Linked DNA regions of Sus scrofa. The protein of the gene in region 4 interacts with the protein of the main gene of each other region in a pairwise test. Links are inferred from orthologs where the notes say so. Each region holds a gene or a part of one and is shown on either strand. Other genes may lie near its edges. The genes, in order: SNX22, KLHL12, PITX1, DVL3 and LNX1.

What was found.
Region 1: the proteins of DVL3 (region 4) and SNX22 interact in binary tests that used the Homo sapiens proteins (3 or more experiments, as listed by UniProt). The two-hybrid records come from large-scale screens. The link is inferred for Sus scrofa from reciprocal best matches to the Homo sapiens genes DVL3 and SNX22.
Region 2: the proteins of DVL3 (region 4) and KLHL12 interact in binary tests that used the Homo sapiens proteins (3 or more experiments, as listed by UniProt). The two-hybrid records come from large-scale screens. The link is inferred for Sus scrofa from reciprocal best matches to the Homo sapiens genes DVL3 and KLHL12.
Region 3: the proteins of DVL3 (region 4) and PITX1 interact in binary tests that used the Homo sapiens proteins (3 or more experiments, as listed by UniProt). The two-hybrid records come from large-scale screens. The link is inferred for Sus scrofa from reciprocal best matches to the Homo sapiens genes DVL3 and PITX1.
Region 5: the proteins of DVL3 (region 4) and LNX1 interact in a two-hybrid assay, tested with the Homo sapiens proteins (2 studies listed by BioGRID and IntAct). The link is inferred for Sus scrofa from reciprocal best matches to the Homo sapiens genes DVL3 and LNX1.

The regions. Positions count from the first base shown.
Region 1 is NC_010443.5:107,893,967-107,899,793, forward strand, and holds the start of SNX22 (sorting nexin-22), read right to left. Parts: upstream 3,591-5,827; 5' UTR 3,515-3,590; coding exon 3,440-3,514; intron 3,068-3,439; coding exon 2,984-3,067; intron 2,579-2,983; coding exon 2,474-2,578; intron 954-2,473; coding exon 859-953; intron 516-858; coding exon 483-515; intron 195-482; coding exon 127-194; intron 1-126. UniProt on the Homo sapiens protein: May be involved in several stages of intracellular trafficking. Interacts with membranes containing phosphatidylinositol 3-phosphate (PtdIns(3P)).
Region 2 is NC_010452.4:24,899,443-24,904,968, forward strand, and holds the start of KLHL12 (kelch-like protein 12), read right to left. Parts: upstream 3,540-5,526; 5' UTR 2,939-3,539; coding exon 2,870-2,938; intron 2,680-2,869; exon of another isoform or gene 2,260-2,679; intron 825-2,259; coding exon 585-824; intron 1-584. UniProt on the Homo sapiens protein: Substrate-specific adapter of a BCR (BTB-CUL3-RBX1) E3 ubiquitin ligase complex that acts as a negative regulator of Wnt signaling pathway and ER-Golgi transport.
Region 3 is NC_010444.4:137,202,741-137,208,391, forward strand, and holds the start of PITX1 (pituitary homeobox 1), read right to left. Parts: upstream 3,933-5,651; coding exon 3,764-3,932; intron 1,470-3,763; coding exon 1,237-1,469; intron 1-1,236. UniProt on the Homo sapiens protein: Sequence-specific transcription factor that binds gene promoters and activates their transcription. May play a role in the development of anterior structures, and in particular, the brain and facies and in specifying the identity or structure of hindlimb.
Region 4 is NC_010455.5:122,073,522-122,079,123, forward strand, and holds the start of DVL3 (segment polarity protein dishevelled homolog DVL-3), read left to right. Parts: upstream 1-2,329; 5' UTR 2,330-2,595; coding exon 2,596-2,756; intron 2,757-5,602. UniProt on the Homo sapiens protein: Involved in the signal transduction pathway mediated by multiple Wnt genes.
Region 5 is NC_010450.4:40,436,898-40,442,468, reverse strand, and holds the start of LNX1 (E3 ubiquitin-protein ligase LNX), read left to right. Parts: upstream 1-1,934; 5' UTR 1,935-2,306; intron 2,307-5,571.

The DNA.
Region 1 (5,827 bases), on a different chromosome or scaffold from region 4:
GCCCCAAAGGTGTCCAGGAGGGAGATGCTGCCTGGGGGTCCTGGGAACTGAGAAATGCTCCCCCCTCACTCCCACCCTCGAGCCTCAGTCCAGAATGTGGATTACAGGTCAGAGGCACTGCCTCACCTGGGGGGGGGATGCAAATGTAAGGGTCCACGCAGAAGCTGATGACTGGCCTGTGGCACAGCTGTGAGCTAAAAGGAAAAGAGGTCATGAGCAGTGCAGGGGTAGGTGGAACAAAGCCTCAGAGTAAGGACTGAGATCACCAAGGACCCACCAAGGAAAAGTGGCAAGTGGGAGTTCCCGATGTGGCACATCGGGTTAAGGAGCCAGTATTGTCTCTGCAGTAGCAAGAGTTCACAGCCAGACACAGCAGTGATAGGTCTCAAAAAAAAAAAAGGAAAATGGGAAGTAGGACATCCCCTAGCACATGGCCACGAGAGGGCAGCAGAAGCCCAGTGCCAACAGGGTGTTTGACTTGCCTGCTGTTGTCAGGCAGGAGCTGCCCCAGGGTGCTGAAAAGGAGAGAGGCTGTGAGCTGCCTGAGGGAGGAAGGCAGGGTGAACCTGCGGAAGCCCAGAACCTCACCTCCCAGGGGACCACTGCTATTTGTAACAAGCTCAGTTCCGGAGGCAGCTGGTGTAACCAACACTCTCCAGAAAACAGCCCCTCCACCAGGGTCATGAAAGCCAACAAGGGAGGTCATGTCTCAAAGAGGAAAAACCAGGCCTGGCAGATGTGAGAGGGAAAAGGGCTCGGCCTCTAGAGCCTTTCCTCACCCGCTGGCTGCAGAGAGCCCCTGTCCCCCCAACTCTGAGGCTCCTCTCATGCCAAGCCATGGTCCCTAGAGGTGCTCACCCCCAGCTGCTGGCCTTGGGGTCTGTGGGGAAGTGCCGAAGACTCAGGAATTCCAGTAGTTCCTTGGGCACATCCTGGTTCAAGTATAGGATGCCCTGGAGAAGAGAACAGAGAAAACCCGTAATCAGACTCTGCCGTGTCATGTGTGCAGCCTGGTGCAAAATGAAAACGTGGGGGGCCTTCCAAAATGATAAAGAATTTCTGTGGTTGCCGAGGGGGAGGGAGTGGGATGGACTGGGAATTTGGGGTTAATAGAGGCAAAGTTGCTTTTTTTTGTTTGTTTTTTTCGTCTTTTTTGCCATTTCTTGGGCCGCTCCCGCGGCATATGGAGGTTCCCAGGCTAGGGGTCTAATCGGAACTGTAGCTGCCAGCCTACGCCAGAACCATAGCAACGCTGGATCCGAGCTGCGTCTGCAACCTACACTACAGCTCACAGCAAAGCCGGATCGTTAACCCAGTGAGCAAGGGCAGGGACCGAACCCGCAACCTCATGGTTCCTAGTCGGATTCATTAACCACTGCGCCACGAAGGGAACTCCCCAAAGTTGCTTTTGGAGTGGATAAGCAATGAGATCCTGCTGTATAGCACAATGAACGATATCTAGTCACTTGTGATGGAACATGATGAAGGACAATGTGAGAAAAAGAATATATACATATATATGTGTGTGAGAGAGAGAGTCTGGGTCACCTTGCTGTACAGTAGAAACTGACAGACCACCCTAAATCAACTATAATGGGAAAAAAAAATTTTTTTTTTGTCTTTTTGCCATTTCTTGGGCCGCTCCGGCAGCATATGGAGGTTCCCAGGCTAGGGGTCTAATCGGAGCTGTAGCTACCAGCCTACGCCAGAGCCACAGCAACGCGGGATCCGAGCCGCGTCTGTGACCCACACCACAGCTCACGGCAAAGCCGGATCCTTAACCCACTGAGCAAGGGCAGGGATGGAACCCGCAACCTCATGGTTCCTAGTCGGATTCATTAACCACTGCGCCACGACGGGAACTCCGGAAAAACATTTTAAAAAGTATTTCTGGACAGTGAGAGTAGAGCATTAAACCAAGCTTGGGGCCCTCCCAAACACTGGCCCTGGATGACTACACAGCTTGGCTCATGAAGCCAGCCTGGCCTGTAATGTCGCATAACCATGTGGGAAAGGAGAGGGAGGATCTCCACCCTATATCAGGAGGGCAGCACAGGATCTCACCCTGGAGATGAGAACTAGCTTTCATTTAACTGGGACCACCTGCCTCCTGATTACCTCACTCAGTCCTACCAATTCACAGGTATGTTTGGACCCATTACTGTTTGGAAATTTGAAGTAGTAAATAGCAGGCCCCAAGAGTTCCCACTGTGGCCCAATTAGGTTAATAATCCAGCATTATCTCTACAGTGGCTCTGGAGGCTGCTGATGCGCAGCTTTGATCCCAGTCTGGCACAGTGGGTTAAGTATTCAGCATTGCTGCAGCTGTGGCTCGGAACTTCCATATGCCACAGGTGTGCCCAACACACAAAAACAAACAAACAAAATGCCCCAAATGTGGGATCCTTCACCCCATGCCCCGCACCTCTGCATGCAGCAGGCTGGGGGGCAACAGAGAGAGACGCACGCACACCTGGATATAGGCCTCCAAGCCCTGCCGCCGCTGCTCCAATCCTCTGGTCCTCCAGTTGGGCAGGCGTTTCGAGGGGAAGTCGGGAACTCTGTATAGTTTCTTGATCTGCCAGGTTACCGAGGTGCGATCACAGCATCCCGACCCAGCCCTCATGCTCATTTCATCCTAGCCAAGACCCCTTTCCAGTCCTCCCCGCCATGCCTGCACTCCCAAACTTCAGGCTCTATCCTGAGACATACCCGCGTGGTGAATGGTGGATGGGACAAGGGCGAGAGGCGCCCCAACCTGACCCTTCACCCCCAAAACGCCCGACAGCGGGCTGGCTGCGCCAGGGCACGGACAACAGAGGCTGGGACCTGCCCCTTTGCGCCCATCCCGCAGCCCGCAGGGGTCTTCAGGGCCTGGGGCGATAATGGGGATGGCAGAGACTGGGGCCTGCCAGCTCGTCTGCCCGCCTCCCAGAGGGTGGGCAGGAGCTGGGCGGGGTCGGTCGGTCGGTTGCTGCCTCACCCGCTTGTGCAGCGCGTGGAACTCGCTGTAGCGCCTCTGCACGGTATGTCTGCGCCCGCGGCACAGCACCTCCACTCGGAACACCTGGCGGGCGCGGGCAGGCAGCCGGGTGCGCATGAGGCCGACGGGAGGGCGCCGCTGGACCCTTGCCCGGCCACTCGCCCACCCTCCGCCCTCAAAGGCACAAAGCGGCGGGAGCGCTCCGCTCTTCAGGGACCCTCCCACGCTCGCACACACTCGGGGACTCGGCTCCATGCGGTGAGCCCCTCAAGGGCCAGGACCACTGTCCGCGGGGCTGGCAAATCCGAGCGGCCCGGAGACCCTTACGAAGCTGCCCTCGACAGCCTGGCCCGCTGCGTTCGGACGCCCGAGCCCCAGGAGCGGGGTCCCCTTGCGTTCGGCGCAGGGAAATCTGGCGGGTCCCTGTACCCCTTCCCATCCAGTGCTCCCGCTCACCATGTGCCCTCTATCGGGGCTCTGCCGGGTCCCCTCGGCCTCGGGTCCCACAGAAGGGATGTGAACCTGCAGCATCCGCGCGCTGATTGCCGCCGGAACTCTCTCGGGGCGGACTGGAGACCCCAGTGTGGCTGGCCCCGCCCCCACGTTAGCCCCGCCCCGGGCGTTCCCTCCTGCCTCCGGGTCCTGCCGGGGGCTGATTAGACCAGGTCCGGGGTGGGGGCGACGGGAGGCTAGAGCCGCTCCCTGAGCCTAGTTGGGCCGCAGGGCGTGGGGACTCTTCGACAGAGAGTCATCCGTTTAGTACTATGTCCACACTCGCTGAGCGCCCACTGATGACCAGGAATGGGGGCAAGCCAAAATTTCACCTGCTCTTGAGCCGCAGGAAGGGCTAGGGCCCGTGGACGGCTGGACAAGGAGGGAGCCAGGGCACAGACCAACCAGGGACATTTCTTGGCGTTCCTCACATCCTTCCCCGGGGTCAGGCTGCCCCCCTTCCAATCCACTTTACTCCAACTTCAGCCTATACCCCGGGAGCGTGCTGGGGTAAAGTTGGTCGCACTCTGGCTTTGATGTTCCCCGCCCCAGCACTCATAGGCCCACTCCATTCTTTCATTTTAAAAATCCGTTCCTCCATTCATTCGTCTTTTAGCCCAAGCTGCATCAGGTCGGGGAGAGGCAGTTTAGGGACCAAATTCAAGGAAATTCAGACACCTTGCATTTCCCCAATTGTGGAAAGCACAGTAGGCCTGTGCGCATTGCAAAATCTGGATAATATGCTTCCCTCAGGAGAGGGCATGAAAATTGAGATGATTCCTGCTAAGCCCTCAGCAAAGCAGATGCTGAGAAAAATCGCAGTTTGTGGGCCTGTCCTGGAGACATTGTTGGGTGGTGTTGGTGTACAGGACAACCTGGTAGGGAGAGGGACTGTGGGAGGTGGCGCCGGGCTGATGTTGCCCACTCTTCTGACAGAGCTGTTGTGAATATGCGGCAGGATTTAATCCAGAACTCTCACCTCCTGAGAGGGGCCTCTGCCCCCATCCCTCAGCCACAGCTACCCCTGCCCTGGCTATGGCCATAAGGGAGCTGTTTCATCCAGCATAGGCCTCCACTCCACTGACTCCTCTATGGTGGGAAGGAAGAAGCAGAGCACCTGAGAAGTTGGGGTTGGGGGATACCAAGTCAGTCCCTCCCCTGCTAGTGCAGAGGTGCTTCTGAGCTGGAGCAGAAACTCTCCATTCCCAGCTCTGCCCCCACAGAGAGGCTGAGAGGATGACCCGAAAGGAGGCAGGCAGGTCTCGCCAGTACTATGTCCCCCCCACTTTTCCCCCCAAATTCCATCTCACAAGGGCTCCAGAATCAGGAAGCTGAAACTTCCTGGAAGGGAAATGACCCCCCATGAGGAGAAGTGCTGAGCTTTCATTTCCTCCCTTGACGTCTATAGAGCCCCACAGGGGCCCTGCTTTCCTTGTCTGCTGTCTGGGAAGTCCTCTCCTGGGCCCTCAGACCTCTAAACTTCTTGATCACCCAGCCTACTGAAGGTCTGCCCTCCGTCTCTATCCCCACCACCCAGAAAACTGCCAGTTTCCTAAGGGATCTTGCTGCTTTTCCTTGCCTTACTCCCTCTCCACTAGAGCACAAACTGTCCAGGCACCTGCTTAAAACTTGCAAAGGCTTCATATTGTGCTGAGAACGAAAGCCACCCTCCCCACACTATCTCGAGCTCTAAACGACCTGGCCCAGCCACCATCTCTCATTTCATTTTCTCTCCTCCAGTCTTGTGCAATGGGGCTCCAGTAGCAGGGACCTTCCTCCAGTTCTTCAAACCTAATGAGCTCTTTCTACCTCAGGACATTTAGTTTATTTTTATTTATTTATTTATTTTTTTGTCTTTTAATCTTTTCTAGGGCCGCATTCGCGGCATATGGAGGTTCCCAGGCTAGGGGTCAAATCGGAGCCACAGCCACAGCAACACCAGATCCGAGCCGTGTCTGCAACCTACACCACAGCTCATGGCAATGCCGGATCCTTAACCCACTGAGCAAGGCCAGGGATGGAACCTGCAACATCATGGTTCCTAGATGGATTCGTTAACCACTGAGCTATGACGGGAACTCCTACCTCAGGACATTTATACTCTTTCCTGACAGTTCACCTGATAGGCTTTGCCTAAAACTTCCAATTCTCAGCCTAAAACTCACCTCCTTAAGGATGCCTTCCTTCCTGCCCACCCTCTCAAAGCCCGCTCTCTCTGCACTTAATCCCAATATGGAGTTTCTTTTGTTTATCGTATGTCTCCCTGGTTTCCCCAAGTCAGCCCCAGACTCAGTACCATCTGACCAGGGATGTGGTCTCTTGTCAGTGGTCGCCACCAGGGTGCCAAATATA
Region 2 (5,526 bases), on a different chromosome or scaffold from region 4:
GCCAAACTGTTTCTCATTCCCTTTGCTAATGGCTTGTCCTCCGGGGTCAGCACCTTTTCCCAAGTGAGCCTCCCTACACCTACACAGCTGCCCCTCTCATCTGCAACGACTCTGAAGGCAACCCGGGTGGAACGAATACAGACTTTCCTCACACGCTGTCAGGAGGAGTGGGATGAGGACTGAATCTCACTCCTCGTGCCTTCCCCTTCCTGGTATGCAGGTGAAAACAGCAAACTTGAGAAGGAAAACAAATTAAAAAAAACAATAAGTAAACCCAGGAGCTGACAACTGTGTTTTCCTCCATGCTAGACATTGTTCTAAGCACATTATAGGAAATTTTTTCCACTAACTGTCACGATAAGCATAGGCTCCTGTGTATTACTTCCCAGTTTCCTTCCCTAACTGAAAGACAGGGAACTAAGGCACAGTCAAGAGGCAGATCTGATCCAGAGTCTGCCCATTTAACCGCCACTCTGTTTAAATTCACTGTCATGTCACATTTCTACTATTTTATTCAGCGAAGTGAGGCAACTACAAGGTGATGTGTGTGGGCTCCACTTGTGAGGAGATAACTTACCACTTACCTCACTGGTGAACATGGCGCAGAAGTAATCACTACAGGCAGCCAGCACAATCCGATGGGCAGGGAAGTCTTTCTGTTCTACTCTCAATGTCACATCACAGAGGGTATTGCTCTTCCTGAGGGAGTTCATTGAGTTGAGGATGGATTTAGCATGAGTGTTTGTCATTATGTCTTTGGGGGCCATAATGCCTCCCATCAAGCAATATGGAGAAAGGATGAAAGGGGTCCTTGGATGCTGCAACTACAAGAGAAAAGAAAAACAAGGACCATATTTGAAGGAATTGGGAAGCTAAACATACTGTTAGCTCTACAAATTAAGGAGGCTCCATCAGACTCAAAAATCTTCAAGTAGGGAGCTCTCCTATTCCTGGCATTACGAATACAATTTAGCCACTAACTATAAATAAAAACTAAAATAAATATAATAAAAAATAATAATAATTATAAATAAATAAATAACAAATAATAATATAAAAACTAAAATAAAACTAAATAAAAATGATCTCTTCTTCCTCTGAATTCCATAATCATCAAGTGCCCCAACCATTTGACAAATACTATGATCAATACAACTGCATTATAAGTGGAAAAAAACCCTACATTTCCTGCATATCTTCACAAGGCTGTTGTCTCACGTGACAAAATGAAAAGACAGAATTTCTTAAGGGTGTGATATCATTGTTTTTAATATCCTCAAGTAGATTAAGTAGGTAAATATTTATAGGGTGGGGATTCTGATTTATATATTTTTTTCTTTCCCAGAAAATGTACAATAAATGTTTAGTAATAGAGTGCAAGAAAAGAAAAACTGTGTATTCAACCTAGAGCAATAAAGATCAAGTATTAGTGAAAATAAACTTTTTTCTAAAATAATGCAAATAATTATTTTTGATGACTTTCAAATATATCCGGATTTCTTCAAAAAGTGAAACTTCAAGTGAGGACCCGATACCTATACTGAACAGTGGAATCCATGCACACTTATCTGTGGACTTCCACTAAAGCTACTGAAGCTCTTCTACAGAAGGGGCTTCCCACTCTACATTAGTTGCAAAGGTTCAGCAAAATTAACAAATCGGTATTTGTATTTCTATACTGAAAGAGTGACTTACTAGGATAGGACCTCTGCTACTAATTTCACTGCCATAGCCAGTCACTTGTAAAGTTCACCTGCACATACCAATTAAATGAACTAAATAACAGATTACATCTTAACAAATCAATATAAGAAGTACTTTCCTGATTGACAGGCTTTGGTCACACTAATTTTTTTTGCTTCAAAAACAGTTTCTGTAGAATGAATGGGGTGGTTATTAAGAAAGCCTATCTTATGTAGGCTCCAGAACTTTCTGAAATGATCCAAGGAAAAAAAAAAAAAACAACTGGTTTTCAAGAGTCCACAACTCACAACCATAATTTGATATGAAAGCAAAAACGAGATCCTAATTTCTCATCTACTCCTGTTCATAGTTAGCATATTATTCTATAGGCACTCTATGTTATCCGTCCAACAACTCCGCAAGATCCATTTTACAGCAAAGCATACGATGTTTTTCAAAAAGGTCGTCCTTGAGTCAATGCAGTTTCAACTCCGGAGATGTGAGAAAGGTCTGCACAGACGCCCGTTTACCGTGAAGACCTTCGGGGTGGGGAGGGGATGTTACGACAGGGCTCACCTGTCAAACGGACTCGACCCCAACGCGGCGCGGTCTCTCTGCCGGGGTACGCAGGGTGCGCCCCGATCCAGGGTTGACCTAGCCCGGGCTCCAGCGAGTTCCCTAGAGGAGAGGCTGCGCCGCGGGCTGGGTCAGATTCGGGGCGGGGGAGGGGGGCTTGCAGGCTGGAGAGCAAAGCGGAGTCCTCCCCGACAGCTTCAGGTGGAGGGCGAGGCGCTCGTCGCCAGGACACCGCCCGGCTGGGAGAGGCCGACCGGGAGAAAGGGGACGGAAAGGCGCTAGCCGCTGCCTCCGGGCCACTCACCTGCGCTCTGGCCCGCGGGGTGGGCGCGGGGCTAGCGGGCGGCTCGGGAGGAGCCCAAGCACCGCCGCCCCGACCCGAGGCCGTCCCCACCGTCGCCGCGCGCAGTGATGACGTCACGACCACCCAGCGTCACGTGAGGGGCCGCGTCACGTGACCCGCAGGTGTGCGGGGCTAGCTCCAGAGAACACGGCGGTGCAGGTCCCCACCCGGTGACTGGTCCAGATGCTCCGCAGGTCCCCAGGCGCGGTGGACTGAGAGGATTCCAGAGTTTTCGAAGCTAGAGAACTGACTGCAGAGAGTGTTTACCTGACAGGTATTCAGGAACCCTCTCACATCAAGAAAACTCACGGAGGCTTCCAGTGTCTTCATGTCCATTTTCCACAATGGCCTTTTCGAGCTGTGATGAGAATCCTCTGAGCCCTGCGACCCTGGGACCTCAGCATTCTCTGCATCACAATCGGGCCTCAACACCCCTGGGTGTTCTCTGCTTCTTGCACTTCAGGACAGTTTAGTGGAAGGAACTCACGGCCCCTCCGAGGGAGATTCCGAAGGGTCTTCTTGCAAGTCCCAGGAATCCTCATCTCCCCTATTCCGATTCTGCTGCCTTTCACAAATCTCGGAGGCTGAGTGTTGTGCTAGTATTTTTGCTTCTGTTTGATTTTGGTACACTTATCTCAGTGGCTCAGAAGGGAATGAGGTTCCTTGATTCAGTTCATGCGAATGTCCAAACCAATTGTGTTTGATTGTATTGTTTTCCTTTTGAGGGGGGCTTGATTCTTTAGGGATATTAAAACTGTAGCTAAGTGGGTAGCAATCTAATTTTACAGTAGTGTCTCCATCTTTCATATCCTATCTCTGGTCTAAAATTGTCTCTGATTTGTATATTGTGAGTGCAGGATTGGTACAAGTTTTATTGGGGGCATCTTGGAAAAATTCACCAAAATGATGAATGCATATATATATATTCCTTAACAATGATCTTTAGAAATTTGGAGTTCCCGTCGCGGCTCAGTGGTTAACGAATCCGACTAGGAACCATGAGGTTGCGGGTTCCATCCCTGGCCTTGCTCAGTGGGTTAAGGATCCGGCGTTGCCGTGAGCTGTGATGTAGGTTGCAGACACGGCTCGGATCCCGCGTTGCTGGGGCTCTGGTGTAGGCCGGTGGCTACAGCTCCGATTGGACCCCTAGCCTGGGAACCTCCATATGCCGTGGTAGCAGCCCAAGAAACGGCAAAAAGACAAAACAAACAAACAACAAAAAAAAACAATGATCTTTAGAAATCTATCCTTTGTATATACTCACACATGTAAAATGATGTGTGTGCAAGGTTGTTTGTAGATTGGATTGAAAACAAGGGTTTTTTTGGGCCTTGCCTGTGGCAGGTGGAAATTTCTGGGTGGGGAATCTAATCTGTGCCCCAGCAGCCACAGTAGTGACTACGTGGCATCCTTAACCCACTGCACCACACTTAAGGAACTCCTGGATTGAAAACAAGGAGTTCCCATTATGGCTCAGCTAGTTAAGAACCCGACATAATCTCCATGAAGATGCAGGTTTGATCCCTGGCCTCTATTAGTGGGTTAAGGATCCAGTGTTGCTGCAAGCTGCAGCGAAGGTCGCAGGTATAGGTTGCAGATGCGGCTCAGATCCGGTGTTGCTGTGGCTGTTGCATAGGCCTGCAGCTGCAACTCCCATTTGACCCCTAGCCTGGGAACTTCCGTATGCCACAGGTGTGGCCCTAAAAAAAAAAAAAAAGAAAAGAAAAAGTTTAATGCCCATCTGTAGGGGACTGGTTCACTAACATATGGCACATCCATACAACCCAATACCATGAAGTTGTGAACAGTGTGTATACTTTGCTATTAATTGTGAAAAAGTTTGGGAAATATAGTCATATTTGCTTGCATGTGTATAAAATGCATTTTATAGATACAAAATAAAGCAGTAACATCACTTTCTTGGAGAGAGTAACTGGTGAGTTGGGAGACAGGATGGGAGGGAGATTTTTCCCTTTATGTATTTTTAGGCCTTTTGAACTTTGTTTTTTTTTGTTTGCTTGTTTGCTTTTTAGGGCCACACCCTCAGCACGTGGAAGTTCCCAAGCTAGGGGCTAGAACTGGAGCTGTAGCTGCCAGCCTGCACTACAGCAGAGCAATGCTGGATCTTTAACGCAATGAGCAAGGCCATGTATTGAATCTGTGTCCTCTTGGATGCTAGTCAGATTCGTTTCTGATGAGCCACAACAGGAAGTCCAGGGCCTTTTGAACTTTGCATTATGTTAACTAAAAATATGTATAATTTAAATAAAAATAATCCTTTGGTTTTTGGTTGCAGAATCTTTGATGATGTGGCTTTAAAACTGAGTTCTGGCTTCTAAACTGAGTTTTTCCAAATATGAGCAGATACTTAAGAAGCTTTGTTTGGAGTATGCCTGCCCCTTTTCCAGAGAGTAAAAGTGGAGAAACTGCAATCAAGAAAGCCAGTGCACTGAGTTCCCGTCGTGGCTCAGTGGTTAATGAATCTGATTACCATCGATGAGGACTCAGGATCGATCCCTGGGTTAAGGATCCGGTGTTGCTGTGAGCTGTGGTGTAGGTCACAAATACGGCTTGGATCCTGCATTGCTGTGACTCTGGCACAGGCCGACAGCTACAGCTCCCATTCGACCCTTAGCCTGGGAGTCTCCATATGCCTTGATTGTGGCCAAGACAAACCCCACCAGCCCACTGATGGAACTGGTTCAGGCCTAGCATGTTTTGAGTCTTTAAGTCCTGGGGACACTATCCTCATACAAGAATATTTCTAGTCATTTGGATAGCTGACCCAGTTCAAACTGATTCTGAATTTCTTAGGTCCATCCTTGGGGGGGCTGGTCTGGATGAGGCGAGTCAATCAGGTTCCACATTGCCCTGCCTCCTTGTTTAGACACTGGGATGATTCCCGGTATTTACAGCTACTCAAG
Region 3 (5,651 bases), on a different chromosome or scaffold from region 4:
TTTCCTTTCACTACGTACTGGTTTCTCTCTACTCTCCCCCTCCACCTTTCCCCCCGCGAAATGCAAGAAGAACCTCTTCTTTCCCAACACCCGATCCTCGCCCGATCCTCCTTTATCGTCCGTACTCCTTTGCCCTCGCCAGCCCTCCTCCAGCCCTGCGCTGTTTCCTGAGCTAGCTTGCCAGCCTCCTGCATCTCAGCCTTCCCCATAGCCAGCACTAACCGCTGCTGATTCTACCCCCACTCCAGCCCTGCTAACATCAAGCCCTGGCAGGATTAGTGAGTTCAGGATTACTGAGTGCTGTCTTCACTCCCTATCACACTGGGCTGGTCAGCCTAACTGGGGAGGGGTGAGAGCTGGGCTTTTAGCAGGGAGTCTGTGGGCCAGGTGGGACCTTGGTTTAGCTTGGGACATGCTCCCAGTATCGCATTAAATATTTGCAGTACCCAGGGAAGAAATGCTTCTCTTGCTGCTCTGGCCGGAAAGTCATGTACATTTTCTCGAGTAACCAAGGGGTGAGAAGAGGGAGGGTGTAGTCCCATCTCAGGTCAGAGACCTTACGTCTCCAAAAGGATTCTTCCTGAGAGCCCCTGGTCCACCAGTCCACCAGAGCTGCTTCCCCACCCGCCACCTGATCCCAGCCCTTAGGGAAAGGGTCCAGCTCCAGACTGGCTGGTGGCTGAGAAAGAGGCAGGTGAAGAGTATCTTAAGGTTTTGGAGAAACCGACTGCAGATGGGACCACTGCTCCAGGAAGTTTTGAGACATCCCCCCCCCCAGGCCTAGGCTCTTATCCGGCCTCTCTCAAGCTGCCAGGCAGGACCTGCCTTTCCCTTTCGTTTTCTCGGGAAGGTGCCAGCTGTTCCGAGATCGCCAGCGCGGGGAATCCTCTGCGCAGTCTAGGGCGGCAACATCCGAGGGGGGCCCCGGACTCTACAGGGCTGGGGAAAATCCCCTGGGGCCACAGGTCTTTGGGCGAGGGGCTGCGGTAGAGCCGGAGGGTCACATAGGATGCGGGTCAGAGGGATCCGAGGCGGCAGCAGCCGAGGCGCGCAAGCACCAATCGGCTCAGCGGCGGCTGGGTAGACCCCGGCCGGATCCTCCGGTGGAGGGAGGGAGCAGGTCTAAGTGGTGGGACAGAGGAATAGTCTGAGCGCCGATCTAAGCGTTCAAGGGCTGCGCTGGACCGGCGGCAGCCTTCGGCGCCGGTCCCCTTAAGGCACACGCCCTGCGCTCACCCGCACGCGTGGCTCGGTGAGGTTGGTCCACACAGCGATCTCCTCCCGCATGCTCATGTCCGGGTAGCGGTTCCTCTGGAACGTGGCCTCCAGCTCCTGCAATTGCTGACTTGTGAAGTGCGTGCGTTGCCGCCGCTGCTTCTTCTTCTTGGCGGGGTCCTCCGCACCGCCGCAGCCCGCGCCGCCCGCACTGCTGTCCTCGGGCCCCTTGGGCTCCCCGCTGCGCTCCTTCTCTGAAGCGGGCAGGATGGGGCATCGGTCACGTCGGGCTTATGCCCTTCTGCACCCCGTCCCGGCTCCACCGAAGCGCCGGCCTTCAGCGGCCGCCCTCCCGCCAGGGGCCCTGGAATTGTCCCCATTAGAAAGAGCCCGCCCGTGCCGGATATCAGTAGTCACCTCTGGCCCGGCTTGTCTGGGAGAAGAGCCCAGGAGTTGGAGCCCTGGGCCTAGGTCCTAGCTGGGCAGGGCCTGCTCTCACAGCTCGGCTCCTGCTCGATCCCTACTGCTGATGTCACTGGCGAATGTACATTTTTAGGGTTCTTGGAGTTCTAAGCCAGAGGGGAGCTCTGCTTTTCTAGGCAGAGGGTCAGATCTTTCTAGCCCGAAGTTGAAGTTATCCGGTTGGCAGGGCGAGAGCCAGGAAGTGGTTTGCAGGCTCTCCACCCTCTTTTCCCCAGGGCTGTGTGGGAGTCCCACCGGGCAGGCACTGCACCGCCGGTTCTCGGCCTCAGCTCCAGGCCCCACGTCTCAAGGCCCAGAAAATCCCTCTGGCGGCAGCCGAGCAGGCCAGACCCACAGGCTCTAAGTGACCCTGGGGCTCTGCCTCTCTCTCTTTGAAGCTACACAAAACACATGCAGTCATAGAAACATCGAAGCATAAAGAAAAAGAATTTAAAAACAAAACACAGAAGCCTAGGAAAGCTCACAGCTCTATGCCTAAAAACATTAGAAAGGGTCACACACTCTTAAAAATAGGCAGGTAGAAACACAGCAAATGCAAATTAAGAAGCCAGAAACCTCCGTGCAAACACATCCCTAACTAAATACAGTGCTGTACGTGTATAAACTCCAGGCAGACACCGGCATTTATTTATCTGGGACTTAAAAAAAAATCAAGGTACTGTTGTAGATAGTTTTTTTTAACCCCTTCCCAAATAATGCTCTTCTAGAGGTAATTTTTAAATCCCAGAGAAATACAACACTCTAGTTAGATAAATTCCCCAAATCACACCCCTGTAAATGGACTTTGAGAAAATCCCGGACAAACGCGCCATTTTGGATTGAATTTTTAAAATGTCTCGAAGAATAACGTTGCATGCAGATATTTTAAAATTCCGGAGAAATGTACTTAGGATAGCAATTCTTTCTATACTGAAAAATACAGTTAAATTTTAAAGTTTATCCTCATAGACTTGGTTGTTAAAAGCAATCTGTAACGATTTCTCTGAGCTTTAACAATAAAAACCAACCCAAGCCCACGCCTAAAACTTTTGAAAACAAAAGTACAGTCCAGCGCTGCTTACTTTTTAACCAAGCAACAGAACCTCTCAGAGAAAGTCACTTAGGGATGCAAAACAGAAACAAATAGAGATTAAAAACGCGTAGAGAAACACTCAGCGGTGGATTAAGAAATGAACGCAGAAGAGGCGCCCGTAGCCGAGAGAGCAGGGAGCTGGGCGGCGGCGCGGAGTCAAGACCGCGAGCGATTCCGAGACTCGGGAGCCGGGACCGGGCCGGGTACTAACCTCGCCACGGCCCGCGCCGCCCATCGCCGGCCCAGCAGCGGCCGGGGAATAAAGCTCGAGCCGGGACAAAAAGGTAGCGCGGAGGGAGACGTGCCTGAGCCGAGCCGGAGACCTGGCTGGGCGGCCTGGCGGCTCCGGGCTCCGGCGGCGCACGTGGGGCCGGGATCCCTGGCTTAGGGGGTCCTCGCCGGAGCCGGGCCGAGCCCCTTGGCCCGCTCGCCCTCGCTGTCCTCTCCTTTTCTGTGACCTTAGGTTGTTTCTCTTACTCCCTGTTTGCTTTTCTCACTTTTCCCGCCACCCCTGCTCTTGGGTCTCTCCCTCTCGCAGTCAGTCGCCCACGGTGTGTCGGGGTGTCAGTACTCTGCTTTCCTGGGCACTTTCTTTCGCCCACCGCCCCATTCCTTTCTGATCTGCTCTTCGCCTTCGGTCTGAGCGACCCGGGTCACCCAATTTCCTCCCCCACCCCCGCCCCGTTCTATTTGCTCCTGATCAAGAGGGGCTGTCAGTCCGACTCTCCGGTCGTAGGTTTATGCATCTGCCGGTCACTTGGCGCGTGGGGATCTCATGGAACTGTTTTCGGAAAGCACTAGATTTCTGTTTCTGAAAGTGTGTACATTTCCGCGTTCACCCTCAGGTACAAAACGGGAAAAGGAAAGATCCCGACGCTCCTGGGGTGTAGAGCGAGCCTGCCTGCGCGGCGCGGGTGCCAGGCCCTGCTCCTGGCTCCCTGCGCCCTCCTGCGGAGTAGGCTCCGTGCGCGCCTCGCAGACAGCCGCGCTTACCTGGCAGCTCCGTGTCGGACGACTCGCTGGCGGAGTTCTCGAGAGGCTCGCGGGGGTCGGCAGCGCGGGCTAGGTGGAAGGCGGGCCCCATGTCGTGCGGCGGCGGCGGCGGCGGCCGGAGCCCCTCCGGCAGCCGCTCCAGACTCATGCCCCCCTTGAAGGCGTCCATGGAAGCGGGGACCGTGGCGGGCGCTCCGGGGGCCGGGGCTGGGGGCACCCGGCCGCCCTGGCTGCGACCTGCGAGAACGAGAGCGCAGCGTCTAAGCGGCTGCCCCCCAGGGCTGCCCGCGCCCGCAACGACGCCGCGCCCGCCCCATGGACCGCCCGGGGCTGCGGGGCCAGGCGGGCGGCAGCGGCAGCGGTTTCTCGCGACCGGGGGCCCGGCTTCGCGCTCCGCGCTGCGCTCCCGCCGCTCGGGCCTCAGCCGCCCGCCCGGCCCCGGCTCCGGCTCCCGATCCGGGGCCGGTTTCTAAGGCTCCGGACCGCGCCGGCAGAGCCTGTCTTAAAGCGACAGCGCGCACCGCCAGGTTCCAGCAGTCCCTGCGCCAGGGGTGGTGGGTGGGGTGGGCCGGGGTGGGAGGGGGCAGGGAGGGAGGGAGGGAGGGAGGGAGGAAAGGAGCAGCGAGCGAGGGAGCGCGGGCGGAATCCAGCCCCGAGCCGCCCGCGCCGCCGCGCCCTCTCGGCCGCCCGCCCTCCCTCCCTCCCTCCCGGCCTCACCCGCGCCCTCCCCCTCCGCAGCCACCTTCCCGCCGCCTCCCCCCTCCCGCGGCCTCGCCGCGCCTCACCCTCCTTCCCCCCGGTGACACACCGAGTTCTCCCTCGGCCGCACAAAAGAAACGCATCTGGCCTGCAAGCCCCTCGCGGCTCGTGCCCACCTCAAGCCCCAAATGACTTGTTTCGCTCGAAATCAACTCCAGTCTGGGCCGCCTCGAAGTCCCGAGTCCCCGGCGAGAACAGCCCAGGCCGAGTGAATGTTCACCGAACAGGATCGCACCGACCGGTCGCCGGCGAGCCAGCGCCAGGGCGGGGGCAGAGCCCGGGGCTCGTTCCGGCAGCTCCCAGCCGCGTCCTCGTCCAGGGGCCGCCGGCCCCTCCTTTCCCGGCCTCTTCTCCCGGGACCCGAGCCAGGCTGAGTGACAGCAGCCCGCGCTCTAATGGGCCCCCGGATGCTGCCTCCTAATTAGCTTGGACCCTCTCCCCCAAGGCGGCTTGCTTCTCAGGCCTCCCCCCTCTGCACCACAGTCAATTTTCCGGGATTGGGATAGAACTGATGGCTTCTAATCAGACGAAACGTTTCTGTTGGCTCCAGGCCGCTGGCGAGTGCAGCAGGAGACCCCAAGAGCCCTGCCAGGCCCCACATCCCCTTCGAGAGGACTCTCTCCTTGTTTCGCCCTTTCAGAGGGCTCACCGAATCTGCCTGGCTCTGGCCGTGGCAACCACGGGGTGGGCCTCTGACCCCCTTCAGGGCAGGTTCCCAGGGCCTGGGACCTCACTTTGGCTGCCCAGAACTGCAGGCATAGACCTGGCAGGCCAGGTGACTACAGTTTGCAAACCTAGGCCAGCAGCCCAGGAAGCCTGGGATGGTCTCGGAGTTTGTCTCCTGGGCCTTGGTCGCTAAGCTGCAGCTCCATTGGGCCCTCTCTGAGCACAGGCAGAGATGGTCCGCTTCTCAGCCCGAAGAATCAGTCCCTCCCCAGTCCTCCTACCTCAGGGAAGTTTGGTGAAGGCTTTTGCTTAGCAATGGGTAACTGGCCCTGAGATGTCAGAGTCTTGAGCGAACAGGTGACAGCTGGGGTGGTAGGGTGTGACCCTGCTCTGTTCCTCTGGCCACAGCTGGACCCCAGGCTGCCCTCTGTGTCTCATCTCGGCCCACCAGTTCCACCAGGCA
Region 4 (5,602 bases):
CGCAGTGGTTAACGAATCCGACTAGGAACCATGAGGTTGCGGGTTCGATCCCTGCCCTTGCTCAGTGGGTTAACGATCCGGCGTTGCCGTGAGCTGTGGTGTAAGTTGCAGACGCGGCTCGGATCCCGCGTTGCTGTGGCTCTGGCGTAGGCCGGTGGCTACAGCTCCGATTAGACCCCTAGCCTGGGAACCTCCATATGCCGCGGGAGCGGCCCAAGAAATAGCAACAACAACAACAACAGCAGACAAAAAAAAAAAAAAAAAAAATTTCCCCCGACTGATCACCCTGCAGTGAAGCCTGCTAGTAAATAAGCCTTGTCTGTGGACAAAGCTTCCAGAGTTTTCTTATCTCACTCTTAAATGTGAATAGACTGTTAAGGATCAGTAACCATTTGAGGAAATTTCTAACATGAAAAGCAGAGACCAAAACAAAATTCAAACCAAGGAAACTGACAAGGTAAGAAGCTTTTTGAAAACTTTAGGATGAGGGGAGAAGGTACTATTCTCAAAACTCAGGGAAGATATTGTATCTGTGAATAATGTGCTGTGAAAAGGAATAATTGGAGAACAATTCTGCAATTGTTGTGTACACATATTACCTTGATAAAAAAGTAAAGAAAAAGTAAGGATCCGGCATTGCCATGAGCTGTGGTGTAGGTCGCAGACTCGGCTCAGATCCTGCGTTGCTGTGGCTGTGACGTAGCCTGGGAGGTGTAGTTCCAATTAAACCCCTAGCCTGGGAACCTCCATATGCTGCAGGTGCAGCCCTAAAAAGACAAAAAAAGAAAGGGTATGAAAATAAATAAGATAATGTGCAGGGGCTAGCAAATAAGTAGAATTGCTTAAGTCAAAACTTTAGCCAAGGAGTTCCTGCTGTGGTGTGAGATGGGAGATATCTCTGTGTAGGTTCCATCCTGGTCCGGCTCAGTGGGTTAAAGGATTCAGCATTGCAGAAGTCTGTAAAAGTAGGTAGAGGTTAGAATGGAGAACTTGGACTATCACGCTAAGGACATTTGGAAGGCATTAAGGAATGTGGAGAGGTTTCTGAGCCAGAGGTGTCTGAAAGAGGTCCTTAATCTTGAAATGCTATGTTGGCAACAGTAAACAAAATGTTACTGTCATCTTAAAGGACTGATGTAATCTGGTCCCAGTCTACCTTTCCACCCATCTCCCACAATCACTGTAGTCACAATAACCTTCATCTTGTTTCTCAGAAGTTGATTCTTTTTTTTCAGCCATGCCCTTAGCATGCGGAAGTTCCCTGGCCAGGGGTCGAACCCACACCATAGCAGTGGCCTGAGCCACAACAGTGACAACACCGGATCCTTAACCTGATAGGCCATCAGGGAACTTCTGGCAAGTCTGTGCTTGCCTTGAGTCTTTATACTTGGCTGTGCCCTCCACATGGAATGCTCTTTCCCCCAGACCAGACCTTCTTATAGCTGTTTCCTTGTCAGTTCTAGGTCTTCACGCAAATGGAAGAGGCCTTCTCTGACCACCCATATTCTTCTACACTGTTACGTGACTACATTTTATCTTTCATAGCATTTGTCAGTCTAAAGTTACTTACTCACAAGGCTCTGTGCCTCCGTCCAAGTGAGTGAAGGTCGTGAGAGCAACCTTGTCTGTCTTGTTTTGCTATAGATCACTAAGTATGCCTTGCACATTAGTAGGTAAGAAGATGTTAGGAATGAATTATACCTAGTTCTGGTCTGAGACTTCATGTCCCAGTCAGACACACATCTTCATTCTTATACTCATTCTGCATTCAATCCATTTATTAAATCACTACACTACACCTGGTAGTACTGAGGTTTTAAGAGGGAATCAGAACTCTTGTTCTGTCCACAAGAAGTTCAGTTTGGTAGACTCAAGGACAGCATCTATGCTGCTCAATAGACCCCAAAAGGCCATGTCGAGGCCACTTTCTTACAGAGATACATGGTCAGAACTGCGGCCTTACACCCCCCCTTTCTCTGGGAAGCGAAGCCACCCCTGCATTATATTCCTCCCCAGCTGCAGAAGAGCAGCCGATCTCCCTTGGGTCCAGAGCCTGGGCCTTGAAGAGTTCCGAAACACAGCCATCCTGGAAAGATATGTCTTCCTCTGTGGGGGCCTAGGCGGCCGCCTCCACACTCCCCACGAGCCTGGGATGGGAGCTTGGGAGCCGTGCACCCCACCCCCCGGGAGGGTGGGCGGGGTGTCCGCTGGGTCCGGCGGAGGGCTAGGCCATCTGCCGCGAAGCCAGCGCGGCTCGGCGGCGGCCGGGGGCGGGGCCGCGCCGGGGCGGAGCCGCGCCGGGGTCGGGGGAGGGGAGCGGACCGGGCCGCTGCCCAGAGCCTGGAGGGCCGCGGCCACCGGAAGAGTCGCAGTCGCCAGCCGAGCCGGGAGAGTGGGGAGCGGAAGCGGCGGCCGCGACGGCAGCAGGCGGCGCTGGGACCCGGGAGCGGCCGGAGAACAAGGGAGCTGGCGCCGCGGCCGGCCGCGGAGCTGGGCTGAGCCGCTGGGCCGCGCCGAGCGCCGTCGCCGCCCGAGAGGCCCGGCCCGGCCGCCCGAGCAGGCAGCGCGCGGGCCGCCGGGCCCGAGGCCGGAGCCATGGGCGAGACGAAGATCATCTACCATCTGGATGGGCAGGAGACGCCGTATCTGGTGAAGCTGCCCCTGCCCGCGGAGCGCGTCACCTTGGCGGACTTTAAGGGCGTTCTGCAGCGACCCAGCTATAAGTTCTTCTTCAAGTCTATGGACGACGATTTCGGGTGAGGATGGCCCCGCCTCGCCTCCGGGGGACCCCGGCTCCTCTGGCTTCTAGGGGCCCACTCCGCCAGTTTGGACTCCCCTTGCTCCACTGGCTTCTAGCCCTACTCTGGATTCTAGAGGAGACTCGGCCATTTGGTCCCCGTTGGCTCTTTGAGAGGCTGGACTTCCAGCCCTCTAGGGACTCTCCTACCCCCTCCTGTGGGGGACCTTGGCCCCCTCGTTTAGGGGGAACAAACATCCAACTCCCTAAGACCAATCAGTTCCAGCCCAGTCAAGCCCCTTCACCTCTTCAGAGACCATCAGCCCACACAGACAGACACACCCCCCCTCCACCCGGTGCCAGAGCACAGTCCCCAGCCCCTCCTCCTGCCTACGGAGCCACCTCGCTAGTAGAGACTCGGGGTGTTTGGTATTCGCCTTCCCCTTCTCCATCTTTTCAGCTCCACAACTGAGAGCCATATTTGGAGTAACCCACGTCTAAGGGCTATGCTGTGGGACTTTGAACTGGCTGGGGGTGCTCAGGCTGTAAGCCAAGGCCTGCAGCCCTAATGTTTATTTAGCTGTGTCCCCTGTCCCTTGTGGGCTGTTGGGGCTGTTGTCAGGGAGCAGAGTGCCTCAACCCTGAGGCGTCCCCACTAGCCCAGGTGCTGATTTCCTGGCAGAACCAAGGCCTTTTTCCTCCAGATGGTGACCAAGGGGGAGACCTTAGAAAGGGCCTCGGAGTCTGGACCAGAGGGCCAGGAAGGTTCTCTTGGTGTTCATCTTCCCTCCTGGGGTGGGGGTGGGTGGGGGGTGTCTTCTCTACCCAGCTGCAGGGCTTTGGCCAGGAGGAGTTTGGAAGCAGTGGCTTCCCCTTTAAGAGGGGATGGAATGTTGGAGCCCGGAAGGTTCTGTAGCAGCTGGCCTGGGAGGGGGAGCCTGGCAGATCCCCTCACCACCCCCCAACTCCCAGGGGACTGGGGGAGGGGGAGGCCCCCACACTAGTCTACCCCACACTAACTGGGCACTGGGCCTGGAGGCCTGTGGGGAAGGCCTTCCTGGGCCCTCCAGGCCTGAAGGCCGCCTCTCCAGCGGTAGCCTGAGGCCTACACCGCTCTTTGGAACTGAGGCCCAGAGCTGAGTGAGGGGAGACATTCTTCTCCCCAGAGTTCATCAGCCTGGCTTCTCTCCAAGGACCCCCGCCCTCCTGGCTCTGGTACCTTCTCTGTCTTCTGCCTGGCGTGTTTTGCTGTCACCTTTCCCCCTGGAACTCTGGGTTTGATGAGCCCGTGAGATCATATGTGTGAAAGTGCTTTGTACAGTGGGAAGTGCTATGCAGCTTCTAACTATTCTTGTTCCTGTTGTTGTTGTTTTTCCTGCCTTGGGGTGGGTACTCCTGTGTAGTAATGATTGTCTGGCTTCAGTCCTGAGATAGACACCTCTGATTGGAAGATTCTGAAGAGGGATCGATCTATCGGCAAGGGGTGGAAGTGAGGGAGGGGCAGTGTGGTCGCCTCGGCCTGGTAAGAGAAGAATGGAGTTCGAAGAGACTAAAATACTGCCTCAGGGTATGGAATAGGGGAAAATCAGCCAGAGTCCAGTGCACTGGGGCCAGGTGCTTTGAGGGACTAGGTCAAACCTGTGTCTCCACTCCCTACTCATCACAGAGCCCACTGGGCCTAACCCCTACCTCCTAAACCTAGATCTCTGTGGGCTGTCTCCCACTCTCCCCAGACTGCTGTCAAGCCAGGCCTAACTGTAGTCACAGGGGGTCCCCATTTCATCCTCTCACTGTTGATTTAATATTCTTTAAATACGCTGTCAGTCCACTCACTCTTTCTTCGTTTGACCAAATCAACAATATGAACCACAGGTCTGATTTGCTGTTTATATTTCTTTCTAAAATATGTTAAAAATAAATATTTAACTCGAATTAAACATTCATTCAGGTATACCTAAAGCCATCTTGCATTCATCAGTGGTACTTGAACTTGAACCATCCTATGTAAAATATTAGAGTAGGCCATTTTAGCATGGTTGCGAACAATAGTAAAAGCAAAGTAGAGATTGATTTTGTCTTTAGCTCCAGAAGGAGTAATGAGCAAGAGACCTGATTGGGCTATCTTGTCACAGAGGACTAATAGCTGAGGAATATATATATATATTTCATTTATTTATCATACTCTCTGTGGTGCTGACAGTGTGCAACATGGTCTAAATGACTTTCAAATCTTTACTCATTCAATCCTCTTAACAACCCTAAGGAATAGGTAGTAATACCCCCAGTTTATAGATGAGAAAACTAATGCACAGAAAATTAAGTAACTTACCCAAGGTCACACAGCTAATAAGTGGCAGAGGGGTTTTTTGTTTTTTTGTCTTTTTAGGGCCACACCTGCAGTATATGGAGGTTCCCAGCCTAGGGGTCCAGTCAGAGCTATAGCTGCCAGCTTATGTCACAGCCACAGCAATGCCAGATCCGTGCTGTGTCTGTGACCTACACCACAGCTCACGGCAACGCCAGATCCTTAACCCACTGAGTGAGGTCAGGGTTGAACCAACAACCTTATGGTTCCTAGTTGGATTCATTTCTGCTGCGCTACAACAGGAACTCTAAGTGGCAGAGTTTTATTCACCATCAGGAACCTGGCTTCACAGTCTAAGGTTGTCAGTATTATTATTATCATCACCATTTAATAAGTATGTTGTCTCTGAGGGAGATGCTGAGCCTTGGCAAATTGCAAAGGTGATGGGGCTGCCATTTATCCCTCTGCCCAAGAGGGGGGCTTGGGCAGAAGCCAGCAACCCCTGCTGACAGATGGGAAGGTGGGTCAGAGGAGGAAGCCTGCCGTCTCCTCAGCCTCTC
Region 5 (5,571 bases), on a different chromosome or scaffold from region 4:
ATCTCCTTGTCTCCTAATTAAAGGTTTTACACAGTGCCCTTTGTGGCTCAGTGGTAAGGAACCTGACTAGTATCCATGAGGATGCGTGTTTGATCCCTGGCCTCATGCAGTGGGTTAAGGATCCGGCATTGCCGTGAGCTGTGGTGTAGGTCTCAGACATGGCTCGGATCCTGTGTTGCTGTGGCTGTGTTGTAGGCTGGCAGCCGTCACTCCAATTCAACCTCTACGCTGGGAATTTCCATATGCCACACGTGCAGCCCTAATAATAAATAAATAAATATAAATAAATAAATACAGGTTTTACTTTCTTTTGACCCCAGAGGCCAGCTGCCTGGGTAACTGCACAGGAGCTCCATGCTAACAATTGGAAGTAAAGAGGAGGCCAGTGCTCATACTTAAAAAAAAAAAAAAAAAAAAAAAAAAAAAAAAAAAAAAAAGCTGCAGTAGACCTGAGACTGAAAATACACTTGCCGATTTCTTTGCATCCAGCAGACGTTTCCAGGCTGAGATAGAATCGCTCAGCTTATGGATGACTTATGAAAAGAAGCTCCTAACTGTTAGGCTTCTAAGTTAAAAAGATGAACTTGTGATCAGGCTGAAGCACACACGAAAGCCACGAAATTTATAGGGCACTTCCTTACAGGTAGATCAGAATCAGAGTGGAGGAGTTCCCATCGTGGCTCAGTGGTTAATGAATCCGACTAGGAACCTCAAGGTTGCGGGTTCTATCCCTGGCCTCACTCAGTGGGTTAAGGATCCGGCGTTGCCATGAGCTGTGGTGTAGGTTGCAGACACGGCTCAGATCCTATGTTGCTGTGGCTGTGGTGTAGGCCAGAGGCTATAGCTCCGATTAGACCCCTAGCCTGGGAACCTCCATATGCCATAGGAGCAGTCCTAGAAATGGCAAAAAGACAAAAAAAAAAAGAATCACGGTGGACAGCCAGGTGACAGCAGCCAGCAGTGCCCCCGTGGATTAGCAAGAGGCAGGGGTCCCTGGGCTAGGTGTGTTCTGTGTGCAAGTTACCGAAAGGTAGCACCGATTCATAACTCCAGGGCAAGACCGCTTAGCTAGCTGATGATCTGTGGTTCTGTTTAGAATTCCATTCCCAGATCGAAGAGTTTCTTTGGCCACCACCGGAGCTGTCAGACCACAGAAGTACCTAAGCCAACAGGCGGGAAAAACAGGGCTTAGAAGAACACCCTTCCAGAAAGGCAATTTCTACATTTTTAACCAGCTGGGTGACTTGGCAGGAGTGACTTAATCTTGCTAATCCTCAGTTTCTTCATCCACAAAATGGGGATGAGAACTATACGCTTATGTCAAGGATTAAATGAAATAATGCAGGGGAGGTCGTTAGCCCAGGACCCAGCTGACAGTAAAGTCTCCATAAGTGAAGTAAGCAAGCAAAGACAGTGCCGCTGCTGATGACCGTGACCTGGAAGAGTAGGTAGAAGAAATCCTTATTGAAACGATAATCCTGTATCTTTAGAGGGTATCTTTAAATGTCTTATCTATATCGTTAAAAGTCTTAGCTAGTGTCAGCCATGAACTCGCTCCCTCTTTTTCTTTGTCTAAAAACATTTGCCAGTGTTCCGTTACGAGAGATGCTGCCTATGGAAAATCTTTGAAAGATTTGGCAAGGCATCGGAGCGAGTCAGGACTGCTTGATTTGTCTGAGATAGATTTCATGCTTCTGAGCTAGAGGCACGCTTCTTCGCAGACTTAAAAATGAAAAGATGCCCAGGATTCTGAGACCCGTCCAGGCAGTGGCCAGCTCCCGCCTGTTCAGGAAGTGGTCCTAGCATGATGATGTCCCAGCCTGGTGCTGACCTGGAGGGGCAGTGACCCTGTGTTTATTTCCTTGTTGATTTCCCTTCCCTGGTTCCAAGCTCATTTTCCCATTGCCTGCAGGAAAACAACATCCAGGGGTGCGGTAGGTCTGATTTGGCAGCTCTAAAGGTGAACAAAAGGATCCTGGCTTTGGCGAGAGCAGGAGGAAGTTGGAGGGGGCCTCGGCCCCATGCAAACCAGAGCAGACTTGTTACCGATGCTCCTGGGTGGCTGTTCTGCGGGGGCCTCTCTCCCCTGGTTGATGGATCAGCTCTGTGCAAAGCCTGCAGACGGGGCCTGGGATGAGCTGATGAACTGCAAAGCGGGGTGGTTCTCATGCGTGTCTGGAAGACAGGCCACAGGAAAGAGGAAGAGTATTTTTCTGGGCTACTGCTGAGTCAGAAAAACTTAGCTCCCAAATGGACTGTACCAAGAGGTCTTACCTGGCTGGAAACTGATTCACAGCACAGCAAAGGTAAGAGGCCTTCTTCCTCCAGAGGGTGGCATCAGACAATTGGAGAAAACTTTGCCCCAGACTATCCCAGCCCAGCCTCCACCCTCACCCCCACTGCACTGCACGCAAACACATGCATACACACACACAGACACACACACACCCAAGATGTTGAGAACCTAGAGATATCTAGGTCTGTCTTTTCCAAAACACTCTAGAAAGGCCTCAGGATATTTGCTCTCTTTAGGCTTGATTTATTTTTTTTCTGCATTCTTCACGACACCTCTTCTTTTATTTTCAAAAATAAAAACTACATATATACATATGTAAATTTTTTTTTTTTACTGGCCAAGCAAGTCAGTAAATCATAAGTAATCCCACTAATAATGATTGGGTTTCTGTGACATTATTCGTCATCAATACTCAAAATACATTCACGCATTTTATCCCATTTCGGCAGTAGAAATAGGCATCATCACTGCACTTTCACCTACAGAGCAACTGAGGCCCAGAGCAGTGGACTTGCCCAGCAGCAGGTAGGAGGTGAGACAGTCCATCTCATTGCCGCTCCGCCTCTTTTCAGCAGACTAGTGACTCTCCTCTCTAAACCAAATACCAGGCTCCATTCTCTGCCACATTCCCAGCACACGATCTGATGAGAGGATGGAACCGGAGCAAGGAACTCCCCTGGACAATCCAGAAACAGAGAGTCACGGGGTCTAGTCCAATACGCCACCGCATTGTATATCCCTGTCTGCTTCTCTCCATAGGCATTGACTCCAGTTCAACAGATGTTGATCAGCGCTGGCCCATGTGCCCAACTCTGGGTCACGTGTCAGGGCGCAGGGCAGACTGGATGCCCAGGTGGTGCTGAAGGAGTGGGAGCTGGGAGAGGAGTTTGTTTATGAGAAGGCTTTCCATGGGAGGGGAGCCTTACACCAGGCTTAGCGTGACGTGCAGACTTATATTGAGGGAGAGCAATGCAGATCAGCGCACCCCTCCCCCTGTCCCCTGGCCGCCCCAGGTAGGGAGGGAGTGAGCATTTACAGCAAGACTGGCAGCGGAGGAGCAGAGGGGGTACTGAGCAGACTGGGAAGGTAGACCATCTGGATATGACTCTTGGTTCTACCGCCTAGTAGCTGTGTCCTGGGGTGACTCAGATAACCCCTGTGACCTCAGTCTTCTGACACGTAAAGTGGGAACAGTGGTGATGCCTATTTCATGGGGTTGTCTTAAGATGTCAATGCGATGATGCATGTGAAATCTTTGCTGGCACCCAAGTGCTCAGTTCATACTAACTATTTAACTGCCATGTACCTGGCTCCATGGGAGAGGAGCCCTACCCTCAACTGGACCACAATATTATGGGTTAGTTGTGTGTAACCCACTATAGGCAGTGTGCTAAGTGCTGTGAGGTCACAGAGGAGGGATCGGTTAAGGATACTTGGTTGAGTGTCCTGGGCGGTCTGTTGAAGGGAGAGGGTCGGAGGAGAGGTTTCATGGCAGAAGCCCTGTTGTAGTAAGGTGGCTTGCATCAAAGCTATACTGATTTGATTTTTTTAAAATATATTTCTGAGTATTTATATAAATGTTTAATTTCCTATAATATACTGACTTGATTTTGAATAGCAACTTCAGCCCCACCAGATGCGTGGTATGACTGTGTTAGTCTGCCAGGCTGCATAACAAAGGACCACAGCCTGGGTGGCTTCACCAACAGAAATGTACTTTCTAAAGTTCTGGAGGCTCTAAGTCCAACATCAGGGTTAGGCCACTCTGCCGGGCTTGCAGAGGGCCCCCTTCTTACTGTGTCTCACGTGGTCATCCCTCTTTGCACCTGCACCCTGGTGTCTCTCTGCATGTCCAAATTTCTTCTGGGAAGGGCATCAATCAGGTTGGATTAGGGTTCACCCTAGGGACCCCTTTTTGATTTACTCACCACTTTCAATGCCTCATCTCCAAATCCAGCCACTTTTTGAGATACAGTGGGGCTTTAGAATATAAACTTGAAGGGACATCATCCAGCCCATAACAATGAGTTTGTTTCTAAGCCTTTCCAAGCCTTTTCACTCAACTAGAAGATGGGGACAGTACTTGACATGGACAGTACTTAACATGGAGACCCACTGTGATCATCACAAAAAAAAGACATGGAGTTCCTTCCCATTGTGGCTCAGTGGTAATGAATCTGACTAGGAACCATGAGGCTGTGGGTTTGATCCCTGGCCTTGCTCGGTGGGTTAAGGTCCTGGCTTTGCCATGAGCTGTGATGTAGGTCGCAGATGTGGCTCGGATCCCGCATTGCTTTGGCTGTGGTGTAGGCTGGCAGCTGTAGCTCCAATTCAACCCCTAGCCTGGGAACCTCCATATGCCACAGGTGCAGCCCTAAAAAAAGCAAAAAAAGAAGAAAAAAAAAAGAACACATGAAACACCTCTCCCAGCCAGTTTTGGACCTTTAGAAGGTACCCCATAGGCAATGGTGGTTGTTACTAGAACTTTAGACCAAGCTTCCAAGGAACATAGGATCCTCAACACAAATCATGTGCCAGATGAATAGACGAACTGGCCCTTAGTTATCCCACAGACTTCCTGGGAGGACAAAGGGGCCTCCATGTCCCCACTTTCTTAGTTCTGGCAGATGAGCCCATTATCAGATAAGCCAAGTGGCTGGCATGACCAGCCCTAGAGATACTGTGTTCTCTCTTTCTAGTTTTTTGGGAAACTGTCCATTCTTTACTAAATGAGTGGAGTGAGAATGCACATTTCTAGCACTTTAGCCGAGAACTGACATATGGCAGATATACCCTGACTTTGCCCCTAGGCAACCACTCCCGCTTTATCCACCCAAATGTAGATGTAGATACAGATATGGATATAGAATAGACGAAGATATATTTATCTCAAACTTATAGAAAAGTTGCATGTACAGTCCTGGGCAAAGAATTCTGTATTGTCTTTTTCCTGATCCCTTTGAGAATGAGCTGTCAAAAAAGTTCCTCCTTTTCCCCAAGTACTTCAGTGTGCATCTCCCATAAACAAGGACATCCTCTAACACAACCACAAAATCAGGAAGTTAATGTTGCTATGTTGCTATTATCTAATCCTCCGACCCCAGAAAGTTTGCATCTGTTGTCACTGGCGCCTCAGACCAGTTCAGGTTTTTGCAAGTTGCCTTTTAGCAAAAGAGCGTTGTAGCATCAGGCATTGCTTTTCGTGGTCACATGTCTTTGCTCCAGTATGGTGCCCTCCCTCCATACTTCCTCCACCCTCATGACCCGGACACTTG